Linked DNA regions of Oryzias latipes. The protein of the gene in region 2 interacts with the protein of the main gene of each other region in a pairwise test. Links are inferred from orthologs where the notes say so. Each region holds a gene or a part of one and is shown on either strand. Other genes may lie near its edges.

What was found.
Region 1: the proteins of eif1ad (region 2) and glyr1 interact in binary tests that used the Homo sapiens proteins (3 or more experiments, as listed by UniProt). The two-hybrid records come from large-scale screens. The link is inferred for Oryzias latipes from reciprocal best matches to the Homo sapiens genes EIF1AD and GLYR1.
Region 3: the proteins of eif1ad (region 2) and signal transducer and activator of transcription 1-alpha/beta interact in binary tests that used the Homo sapiens proteins (3 or more experiments, as listed by UniProt). The two-hybrid records come from large-scale screens. The link is inferred for Oryzias latipes from reciprocal best matches to the Homo sapiens genes EIF1AD and STAT1.

Annotation. Positions count from the first base shown.
Region 1 is NC_019866.2:25,324,959-25,328,536, reverse strand, and holds part of glyr1 (putative oxidoreductase GLYR1), read left to right. Parts: intron 1-268; coding exon 269-322; intron 323-1,026; coding exon 1,027-1,077; intron 1,078-1,709; coding exon 1,710-1,783; intron 1,784-1,862; coding exon 1,863-1,962; intron 1,963-2,439; coding exon 2,440-2,550; intron 2,551-2,629; coding exon 2,630-2,731; intron 2,732-2,804; coding exon 2,805-2,967; intron 2,968-3,089; coding exon 3,090-3,269; intron 3,270-3,405; coding exon 3,406-3,530; intron 3,531-3,578. UniProt on the Homo sapiens protein: Cytokine-like nuclear factor with chromatin gene reader activity involved in chromatin modification and regulation of gene expression. Acts as a nucleosome-destabilizing factor that is recruited to genes during transcriptional activation.
Region 2 is NC_019868.2:26,090,943-26,095,271, reverse strand, and holds eif1ad (probable RNA-binding protein EIF1AD), read right to left. Parts: upstream 2,822-4,329; 5' UTR 2,661-2,821; intron 2,197-2,660; 5' UTR 2,165-2,196; coding exon 2,078-2,164; intron 1,956-2,077; coding exon 1,847-1,955; intron 1,041-1,846; coding exon 932-1,040; intron 864-931; coding exon 650-863; 3' UTR 285-649; downstream 1-284.
Region 3 is NC_019860.2:3,984,185-3,987,762, forward strand, and holds part of signal transducer and activator of transcription 1-alpha/beta, read right to left. Parts: coding exon 3,516-3,578; intron 2,020-3,515; coding exon 1,831-2,019; intron 1,756-1,830; coding exon 1,680-1,755; intron 1,602-1,679; coding exon 1,505-1,601; intron 1,059-1,504; coding exon 1,020-1,058; intron 1-1,019. UniProt on the Homo sapiens protein: Signal transducer and transcription activator that mediates cellular responses to interferons (IFNs), cytokine KITLG/SCF and other cytokines and other growth factors.

The DNA of each region.
Region 1 (3,578 bases), on a different chromosome or scaffold from region 2:
CCGATATGGACCTTTACTAATGTACAAAATGTCTATTTTGTCCCAAAAAAGAAGGCAGAGCTGTAGATGTTTTAGGGCCCCCCAAAGGCCCTGACAGTCGGTGGACAGCAGGCTGACACCCCCCAACACACCTGCAGGTGGAAACGTTGAAATGGGTTTGTTGGGGCCCTCCTACCCCAGACTGCAGCCTTCTGTCAAAGCAGGTGTTTGGATGGGAACTAGCCCTGCTCCAACACCAGCCATTAACACTCCTCTTGTTGTGTTGCAGCCAGTCAAAGATGACCCACATTTTCATCATTTCCTGCTCAGCCAGTCAGAGAAGGTAAGAATCCCATTAAGAGGAGCGGGATGGGGGTGTGGCTTTTTTCCTGCCTTCCAGAGAGGGGAGGGGGTTTAGGAACTGCTTACATGGTGGGACTGAGGGTTAGAAAACGTCTTCATACATGGATGGTGAGATCACTTCTTCTGGCTCGTCAGCGCCGCGTGGGGACCGCTGACCTTCGTCGTCATGGTTACTCGTTGGACTCTCCAGTCCAGCTTCTGGTTTCGTCTGCTTGAAGCACAAACGAGTTATTTTCTTCCCCAACATTGACGGGTTTCTCTGACATGAATGGATCTCATCAGTGCACGCTAAGGCTGTCATGCGTGACGCTAAAACGAATTGTCCTCCACAATGTGGGGGTTATGGAGCAGAATTTTGGGTTGTTTTTATGAACAATCCAGACAAATGTGACAAAAAATGTTCAGGTCAGTCTGTTAAAAACTGTTTATCTGTGGGATTTCTCCCCGATTGGTTGTTTTAGTGGCGGCGTTATCTGCTGTCATCCGTTGGACTCCTGCACTCTCTAGCGTGTGCAGTAGGTCACGCGTGTCGGTGCAGATATTCAGAGGTGACCTTTTGCTTGTGCTTATGACCTGAACAGTGAAGTTGTGGATCCCATGGTGGATCTGTCACTGATTGGTTACCAGCTGGTTAGTCAGACCTGAGAGGCTCACCTGCTCACCACCTGTGCTTTGTGTCCACAGCCAGCCTCTTCCATGGAGCCCATAAGCAAACGCCTGAAGATCATTGAAGAGGTCAGTCAACTTCTTCCTTGGGGGAGCCGTTTTTCTCCCATGGGGCTTTTTTTATTAAATGTTTTTAATAAAAATACCTCTGAAAAGGCCTCAGACACCCAAACAAATGAACTAAAACTACAACTGAGTGTTTCTTTATTCAAATCGTGGGGAATCAGGACTACAATTGTGAAAGATTGTGGTTGTTTTGTACAAACTACAGTCTGCAGGTCAGTCTCCAAGCTCCGCCCCTTTCTGACCATCCACCTGCAGACCAACAGATCCATGAGCGTCTGTGTTTTCCTGGTCTGAACTGGAGTCTGGATCAGAACTGGACGGATGGACGGATCTGATGTTGCTGCTGATTCTGTTGCTACGCTAATGTTAGGATGGGGAGGGGCAGGGGGGGGGGGGCAGTGGGAACAAGGGGATGATGGAAATAAACCGGAGGCTTACGTCCACGCCAACAGCCCTGCCCACTGCTTGATGGTGAGTTTCTTAGGAACTGCTGCCGCTCTGCAGAAACTATGTCCCAGTCCCCTGATTCTCAGAGGAACCAAAAGGCAGCGAGAAGCGTTCTGAGGACTCTGATGTTCTGGATCAGGACTGTGTTGGGGTGTCACTGCAGCTGATGCAGAGTGTTTGTGACGCAGGTCACAGGCTCCACATCCATTCAAGCAGCAGACAGCACAGCCATTAACGGGAGCATCACCCCCACCGATAAGAGGTGAGGACAGCCCGCTGCGCTCTGGCACCACCGTCTGAGTGTGTTGTAATGGTTGCTCTCTGTGAATTGTGTCTCGTAGGATAGGTTTCTTGGGTCTGGGGCTCATGGGCAGTGGCATCGTTTCCAACCTGTTAAAAATGGGTCACGTTGTGACCGTGTGGAACCGCACCGCCGAAAAGGTACCGTCTTCTTCAGACGCCCTGTTTTGTGTGTGTTTGATGAAAACTGCAGCTAACGTCACAGAAACGTCTATAGAACAGCCGTTTTTCTGTTCCACCGTAGCACTAGATCTGATCTGTTCCGGGTAGATGTGGAACGTTTCCACTCACTAGCTCTGCTTCAGGACTCCTGATCTGGTGCAAACATTTCTCCGGCCCTTTGAGTGGCTTTCCTTCACCTGTTGGTGCCTGCAGGTGATCTTGAATGAAGCTTGTTTTCTAGTTCAGTAGTAGCACGGCTCCGCTCTGCAGGTGAATAAACGGCGGGTCTTTAGCTCTCTACCGTCATTCAGGTCCCTGTCATTCTTCCTGTAGACTCCGCTTACCAGGTGCCTTCATGTCCCGCCAGTTTAGAGGAGCGGCTAAAAGTCAGGCCTTTCTGTGACGCTACCAGAAAAGTACCGTCTGACCAAACTCCACTTGTTTTTTTTTTCCCAGTGTGACCTGTTCATCCAGGAGGGGGCCAGGTTAGGCAGAACCCCGGCAGAAGTGGCTTCCATGTGTGACATCACCTTCTCTTGTGTCTCTGACCCAAAGGCTGCTAGAGACGTGAGCATCTTCTCTGTAGAAACAGACGGCTGTCACTGCGGCAGCGTCAGGTCTGACCAAAGCTCCTGTTTGTTGTCAGCTGGTGCTAGGACCCAGCGGAGTCCTGCAGGGAATCAGGCCGGGCAAATGCTACATCGAGATGTCCACCGTGGACCCGGAGACCATCACAGAGCTGTCCCAGGTGTGCCTTCTGCACGCTGAAGCTGCTCGGGTGGGCGCCTCCGCAGCCGCTGAACTCTGTCTTTGAACGGCAGGTGATCACGTCGCGAGGCGGACGCTTTCTGGAAGCTCCGGTGGCAGGAAGCCAGCAGCTCTCAAACGACGGCATGCTGGTCATCCTGGCTGCAGGCGACCGGACCGTGTACGAGGACTGCAGCAGCTGTTTTCAGGCCATGGGCAAAACCTCCTTCTTTCTTGGTAACTAAGAATAGAGAATAGTTGTCACACAGACTGGTGTTTCTGCCCCCTGTGAGGGTATATCCAGGTGGTTTGGGGCGATCTTCATGCAGGTCCTGTTCTCACGTAGTCTCTGTCGTCAGGTGAAGCAGGAAACGCAGCGAGAATGATGCTGATCCTCAACATGGTGCAGGGCAGTTTCATGGCCACCATTGCAGAGGGCTTAACTCTAGCCCAAGCAACGGGCCAATCACAGCAGACCTTCCTGGACATCCTGTGCCAGGGCCAGATGGCCAGCACCTTTGTGGACCAGAAGTGCCAAAGTCAGTAGCTCCACGGTTTGAGGCTTTGATTAAATGTGTTCATGTTGAGTATTGACAGGTCCTTCTGTAACCATAGCAACCGATTTCAGGAAGTTCAAACTGAAAGCTTTAGGCTCACGGTTCTGTCCTCTGCCAGATATCCTGCAGGGCAACTTCAAGCCAGACTACTACCTGAAGCACATTCAGAAGGACCTGAGGTTGGCCATCTCCATGGGCGACATGGCCAACCACCCAACCCCCATGGCTGCAGCCGCCAACGAGGTACGTTCTGCCGCCGAAAGCTGGGCTGCCGTCATGTTAGAGCGTCAG
Region 2 (4,329 bases):
AGATATGAAGTCTTCAGTCTATAAATGTCACTCAATAAGGAAGCCTGACATTTTTAAAGAATGACACCAACAGCTTAGCTGTTGAAGAATAATTACAAATGTCATGAGTCATATTTTTTATGTCCTAAAAATTGGCTTCTCGGTGCCAGCAGGTACTTCCTGTTTGGAACGCGAGGGAGGAAGAGTTACTCAGTCCAACTGTCTAATACTGTTTATGGCTTCTCATTAAATAATCAGAACGCAACCAAAATCAAACATAACAAATCCAATCCAATGATTAAACATAATTTTTTAACAAATAGCATTTATTTGATTCCATTAGAGAAAATACGAGAACCGTCAGCAAAGATTTCCTGTTTGTCATAGAAACATGGCTCCATAGGAGATTTGCTGAAGAAGAAAAGCAGGAATGTGAGGAAAACAGCTGAAATTATCTCATCTGGATTCTTGCTGAGTTTCTATGATCACATAGAGACCGCTTCATGTGGAAACCATACATAAGGTTTCATAAAGTTCACTGAATGAGATCAACTCGCCAACAATCTGACCAGCAGGGGGAGCTGCTGCACAGAAGCCAACATTTGAAATCTTCCTAGATTCAGTCAGTCTGTGGTAATTATCAGTTCTCCATCGACCTTCATCGCTGCAGCTAAGAACCATTTTCAGTCACTGGTTTGTCCTCTTCATCAGTGTCGTCCTCCTCGCTCTCGCTGTACTGGTAGTTACATCGGTTTGTGTTTACAAAAAGGTCGCTGTCGTCCTCCTCGGAGCTGCATCCTTCCTCTTCCTCATGTTTTGTCTCCGCGTCCTCCTGACGCGTGTTTTCGTTATTGTGTGGCAGCTTCTCCGTGAAGCCCTCAGGCCTGGAGGGGAGCAGAGAGAAGCATGAGAGCCCGAAGCGACGCACACGTCCTTGTGTCTTCAAACTCACCAAAGCTGCTGTTTCTGAAGGTTCTGAATGTGATCTTTGTAGAGGATGAAGCTGATCTCCGCCTTCACCTTCTCTCCCTCCTCGATGGGATCCACAATCACGAAATCGCCTGAAAGTCGAGCCAAAAACACAAACCCCAAGAAAACGTATTTATAAAAATGACAGAATAATTGATTTCTATGACCAGTTTTTGCTGATCTAACTTCAGAATTTCATTACCTGTTCGTCTAAATTAAACAAGAAATTAAATTAATTTAGATTTAAAGGTTATAATATACTTTTAAGAGTTGTGGCTAAAATATGTAGTTTTTTTAGATGAGGAAAAACTGTTGTACTGTAATTTTTACATGAATACAGTTTGCTGAATAAATAAAAATAAAAAAAATAAAAAATGTAGGCAAAATTAATTTGTGATCATAATTTAAAAAGCTTTATTAGAAAATCTAAAAGTTAAATGCAAGTGGAACAATTCCAGACAAGAGTGTTTCCAAAAATGTGCTGATAGTTGATGTGCACAAACCCCCCTTAAACCAAAATGATGTCCAGATATTTAGGTTTGAAATACCTGAACATCGTTTTTATAAATCTGAAAATGTTCTTGCATTGGCATATCTTCCTTCTAGCCTGAAATCCAATCAGTTTTATGCACAGTTCTAATGTTCGAATGGTGTTGCCTCAACAGACAATAGGTCTTAAAACCAGGGAATTGAATCCAAGACTTCCATGTTATGAGGTTGGTTTGCTCTCCAACAGCCCCTCCTAAATGTATACAGTAAATCGACAATGTGTAGTTGCTTGTCTTTCAGCCTTAAGTCAAACCAAACACGTCTTTCTCTCCCAAAACCTTTTTTAGAGCAGTTTCAGGCATGTACATCTATAAACATCAGGAATAGTAACCGTTTTATAATCCCGTACCTCTCTTGATCCAGATGTTTTTCCGGAACTTGGTGGGCATGCTCACCAGGAAAGTCTCCCCCTGAGCCGTGACTGCTTCGTGCAGATTGTTGCCTCGACTTCCAACAACCTGAGGATGTGCAGTGGATGAAAAAAGGGAAGGAGGAAGTTTTTGTAAGATTGTTAACATTTTTTTACATTCCTGTTGATCTTTAATTATTAGGACAGTATTCTGCAAAACACTGAGTTCACCTTTACAATCTGCTGGTTTTCTGTCGGTGTGACAAAATCTCCAAGAACTTCCTTGACAACATGTTTGCGTTTGGTGGCCTGGGACATTATAGACAGTCAAGTGGTGCTTTGGTCGCCAGCTAACACAAAGAAAAGACAAAAAAAACTTAAAAATTGAATTTTTAGTATTCAAAGTTCAAGTTAAGATGCTTTTTGTTTTTTTTGTATGCGACACGATGTATAGTCTGAGGTTAAAATAAAGTTTGCTTCATTTAAATACAAAAGAGTTAATACTTTCCGAGGTGAGGGGGATCGTTGTGCGCATGTCAAATCAAATGTCCACCAAAAATTAGCAAAGCTAGCACTAGCACGGACAGAAATATCTCAAAACCCATTTCCAACCCATAAGGACGAAACTTACATAATTGGTAAGGGGAAAAGCATTATTATTATCATTGTGCAAGTTACCAAATATTTGTTTTTCCTTTAAGCTATATATACAATATATATATTGACATTCGAAATTTAAATCAATAATGCTAACGACTTAGCTGTGTAAGCAAACATTAGACCGTAACTTTTTTTCGTTCGTCGGTTTATTTACCTTGGAAAATAGATAATATTCTTTCAAAGTAGGATTTGAACCGGCAAAAGAAAAACTGAATAAAAACGGAGCAGAAATATTAGGACTTGAACAGAAGTTTTAGCCGTTTAGAGTCGCGTGCGGTTGTTAGTAAAAACACGGTGGAAGTAACCAAACACTTCCGGTATCACTGTTTGTGTGTTCAAAATAAAAGAACCTGTTTTGTTCACTTTAAATAGTAGTGCCTTTAAAAGGAATGATAAAACCCCATTAATGCTTGTTTCTTGTAAATAAGAATGAGTATAATCCTCCACATATCACAAATGTCACCAACATTTTTTTAAACTTTTTTTTTTGGTTTTGTTCAAACATGTTTCTTCTGAAACACCAATGATTACTTCCTGAAGTCTTGCCATGACCTGTAGGAAATGTAGTTTTTAGGCCATGAGTAACGTTCAAGATCACCAACATGACAAATTCAGATGTGCCAAATTAATGTCTTTTCTAGGTAAAAATTCACCATTGTAGACTGAAAAAGCGTAAACACTCTCCCTCTCTCTCTATATATATATAAAACTGAGGTTTTCGCCTTTTATATATATATATATCTATATATCTATATAGATATATCTATATCTATATCTATATCTATCTGCAATGGGAATGATTCCATATACACACATATATATATCTATATAGATATATATATGTGTGTATATGGAATCATTCCCATTGCAGATACTCTCCAACTGGATTGTTGATTTAGTCCAGGATTCCCCTTAAAGTGTGGAAAGACTTATGCTAAAGTTTATCAAGTACCATGTAACCCTTGTGCTATGCTAGGCACTTTAACGTTGGGAGTTGGGTCATCTAGACCCACTAGACACTTCTCTGAACCTTTTTTCTTCAATGATTTGTGATCTTCACTGGTGTCCATGGATTACAAGAAATCCTCTTCACCTTCATCCACTTTTGTCATAGTAGGGAGAACACATCAAAGTAAAACTGGGGTCATAGAATAGCACAAGGGTTTAATATAGGAAATCACTGAAATCCCTACAATAGTTTACCAAAGTCATAGTTAAAACCACCTCAATATCCAGAGGCACAAAAAGGTCAAAGAGCTACATAACAATTTATTAAATAATGGAGTGAACACATGTATGCATTTCTGGTATTGAATTTTATTTTTAATTATGCTCCAGAAAAAAACTTCCATACACAAGAGAATTAATGGTTCCAATCTCTTTATTTAGTTTTTGCCCATAATTCATCATTACAGCAGTCAAAATTGCATTTCAGGTGTGTAGTATTGTGTAGACCCCAGTAAAACCAAAGTACTAGTCTTTCAGGAACACAATAATACTTCAAAGAACTTCCAGTTAAGCTGAAGAGGCTTCAAGCTTTGGGCTCAGTCACTGCAAGTGGAAAATGAACTACACTCAATACTGCATTTTTACACGGCATCTCTATAAATTGCTGGAGGAAACCTGCTGGTATGAATCATGCACACAAAGCTTGTTTTAAGAATACTGTAAAGCTTGATGAATTGGAGTTTTCACTGGATAAAGTGACAAGGAAGAGGAGGTCTGAAGTTAAATTGTGCAACTTTGTTTAACGGAGTCTTGGATTGTAGTCTTCATGTGTTTTGTAAAGATGATAGAGCAGAACAGCAGCAGCAGCGGTGATG
Region 3 (3,578 bases), on a different chromosome or scaffold from region 2:
TCATTTTCAGCTAAATACGTTTTGAGGTACTTCAGCGTTTCGCTAATGTTTTGTCCAAAATAAAATATTTGTATCTAGTTTAGCACTTAGCTTTAAATCTCGTAATTTTAGCATTTTAACTCTGCCGACAGCAAAATAACACGTTCTATGAACTACTGCAACCATTTACACAATTATCGTAATTCCAATGGATAAAAAGAGGCTTTATGCTGATATGCGACATAAAGAAATAAACGTCTGCATAAACAACGCAAAACATTTTCCGCGTCAGAATTAGCTGGTTTACGGTAATTGCGTAAAGGCTACAATACTGTAAAATGCCGCATATCAGCGCCAGGTACGGTAGTTCAAAGAACGTCAAGGCTAGAGTAACATCTGACCCTAAACGACACCTAAACGAACTATGATAACGTTTTTGACTGTTTACACAAATAACGTAATTACGATGGATTCACGAAGAGGGAAGCGACTTTCTGTTACTTTACGTTGGTCAAGTGTTGCGCAAAGCCGTTGTTCTCTTCATTAATATTAATATATTTTCACCCTCAATTCTAGCATTTACCCATAATCTGGAGCCTTTAATCTGTTCTTATGTTTATCTTCTTTTTAAAGATTGAATATTTTTTGTATTACTAACAGGTATTTTTTGTCTAAATACTCATTTTTATTGCGTTTCATTTTTAGCGCAGGCCATGCTAGCAAGGAGACAGATCAGGGTTGCTTTAGGTCTGCAACAGATATTTTTTTACATTAATACAGGAATATTGTTTTTTTTTCTTTATTTCAGGCAGCTTCAACTTAACGTTGGTTATTGCTTTGGAAATTCCTAGAACAGCTACAGAAATTGAGCCCATCCTCTCATTTCTGATCAGATGGATAAATCAACAAACTAGCAAATATTGTGCGTCATGCATTAATGCCGTGCATTGACTAAACTAGAGAGGCATGCTAATAAATAAAGGAGTGCAAGGAGTCTGACAGTTAGTACAAGGAGTGAACCATCAACTCTGGGGGTGTACCTGAGCGTCAAACCCTCCAAAGTCCATCAGATTGTTGGTCTGAGAGCGCGACAAGGAGAGAAAGACAGAAAGTTTGCAGTTGAACAGACTAAGAATCATTAAAAAAAACGTGATTTTCTTAACACTTTTTTCATCTTTCTTCCTCTTTTAGTCCATATTTTCAAATACTAAACAGTACTTTATCTGCAAATCTTAAAATGCTATTTATACTGGTGACTTTTTAGCAAATTGGGGTCCCTTTTTCTATGGGAAAGAATTTGTGTTTTAAGTTTTTTTTGTTTTGTTTGGACAGTGATTTTTTTAAACCACAAAATGCTATTTTCCTACAGTGTTCATCAAACGTTAAAAGCTTTTATTTTGAAAATCCATTGACGTGAAAGGAGAAATTTCTGCACTTTTGAAGCAGTTTAGGGATGAAAATAATAATAATGTGGTGGGTTTATCGTTCTTACTGTGAACAGAACTGGATGTGTATCTTGTCTTACCACAGCATCGATGTCTCTGTGGCCCACAAACTGCTCCAGTGCCTTGTAGTCGTCCGGAGACATGGGCATGATGTTGTCTTGCAGCCTGGACGGCGGTCTGAACCAGGTGGAGGAAGCGGTTTGTTAGAAGCACGTGTGTCAGTAACTTCTGAAGGCGTTTGCAGTCGGCGCTTACACTTCTGAAACGGATATGAGCTCTGTCTTCATGTAGCCACTGGGCTGCGAGCTCTCCACGTCCATGGGCTCTTGAGCTAAAAGAGGAAGGGACAGACGTGAAAGTCTGCGCTCAGAAATGAGGGCGCGACGGATCCGCTAGCGTGTCTTACGCTCTGGGGGTTTGGGGTAGTATTTCCCAAAAGCCTTGTCTTTGGGGATGGCGGGGTAGAGGAAGCGCAGCGGGTTCTCTGGAATGTTCTCGGCCGCCATCACCTTGTAGGTGCGAATGATGTCGGGCAGCGAAACAGCAGTCAGCTCCTTCTTGGTGTACGGCTCAACGGAGTGGAAAATCGGCTTGTCTGGAGGGACGGAAGAAAACGGATAAACTAAAGAATCGCCTGATTCCACCTTAACTTGTAGGTGTTTGGGCCAGAATTTCATGTAAAACTCAAAAGTGGGGATCCATCATGCTTATATCAATGTTTTAGGCTGGTGGTGGTGGTATAATGATGTGGGAGGTGTTTTCAAATGCAGGTGACTTGAGAACCTTCTTGGATGTTATTTACTAAACAATGTGTTACTTTAGCTCGGTCTCTTTACACATCCATATTGTTCAGCACCTGCGATTCAACCTGCAACTTGTAGGGTATTAGCATAGGTAACAGCACGCCTGCTAACACAGGCTAACCACTAATTGTAACAAACATAAATAAAGAACCTTAAAACCTCTTTACCCTCATCGTGTTTAAATATTCAAATAAAGTCTACGTGGGATAGTGTTAAAAAAAAAAAACTTTGCTAAAACTTAAAAAACTTATAACAGAAAAGTTAATGATGCTATATTTTCATCAAGCTAAAAAAAATACAGAAGAATTTTTTTTCAAAAAAGCTGTAAAATGCTCAAGAACAATTGATGCTACAGATTAGCCAAATGCTAAATTAGCTTAACCTGTTTTAAAAAAACCTGCCTTTTAGGCTAAACATAATCTTTAAGAAGTTTGACTAAAAAAAAACAATAAAAAATACTAAAAAATGTATGCATCTATCTATCTATCTATCTATCTATCTATCTATGCCTTTATTTTATTTTATTTTCATGTAAAGTGTGTCTTTATTTTAATGTGAATTATTAAAGTAGTGTACATCTCTCTCTCTATCAGAAAGAAACCACAGCTAACATAGACTAACAGCTAATCGGGGAAAAAGCAATAAAGAAAATATTAAATTCTAATTTAACTCATTAATGGTATAAAAAGTCATGTAAATTGTGTATAGTGGCAACATTTAAATCCTAAACAGTAGTAAAAATGTCACGTGAAAGCTGAATGCTAACCTAGCTTGAAATATTTCAACATAATAAAAATAAAAATCTGACAAAAAATAAAAAAGACTAATAATAGAAAAGCTAATTATGCTATTTTATCATTAAGCCAAAATAAAGTTTAAATACCTCAAATAAGAAATGTTACATTTCTGTAGCTTAAAGAAAGCTAATTCATTTTGAACAAAGCTAGCTATGCTAAATGAAATGCTACTTCCAAAAACAACCACTACAGCTAGAAAATGTGTTTGTTTGGTTTTTCTTTTGCCTCTTGACTGCAAAACATTTAATCTGATAAGTGAACTGATTACTGTATGTCAAAAATTAAAAACATGAATGTTTTTCTTGTTAAAGAAATCCTGTCAGGGTCAAAGAATGCTAAAGTTGCTAGCGGTCAACACATATTTGACAGATTGAAGCTTCGTTCACTTGTTTGGAAACGGGAGAATGAAAATGAAGGCTAAAACTCCTTAAACCTGCAGCCTGTCTCATCTTGCTGGTGGTCGCGTGAGGTTCTGTGACTGCGGCGCTCACCGTGGATGTCGTGCTCGATCCAGGTGAAGGTGATGGCGCCGTCCCGGCTGCTCTCGCTGAAGC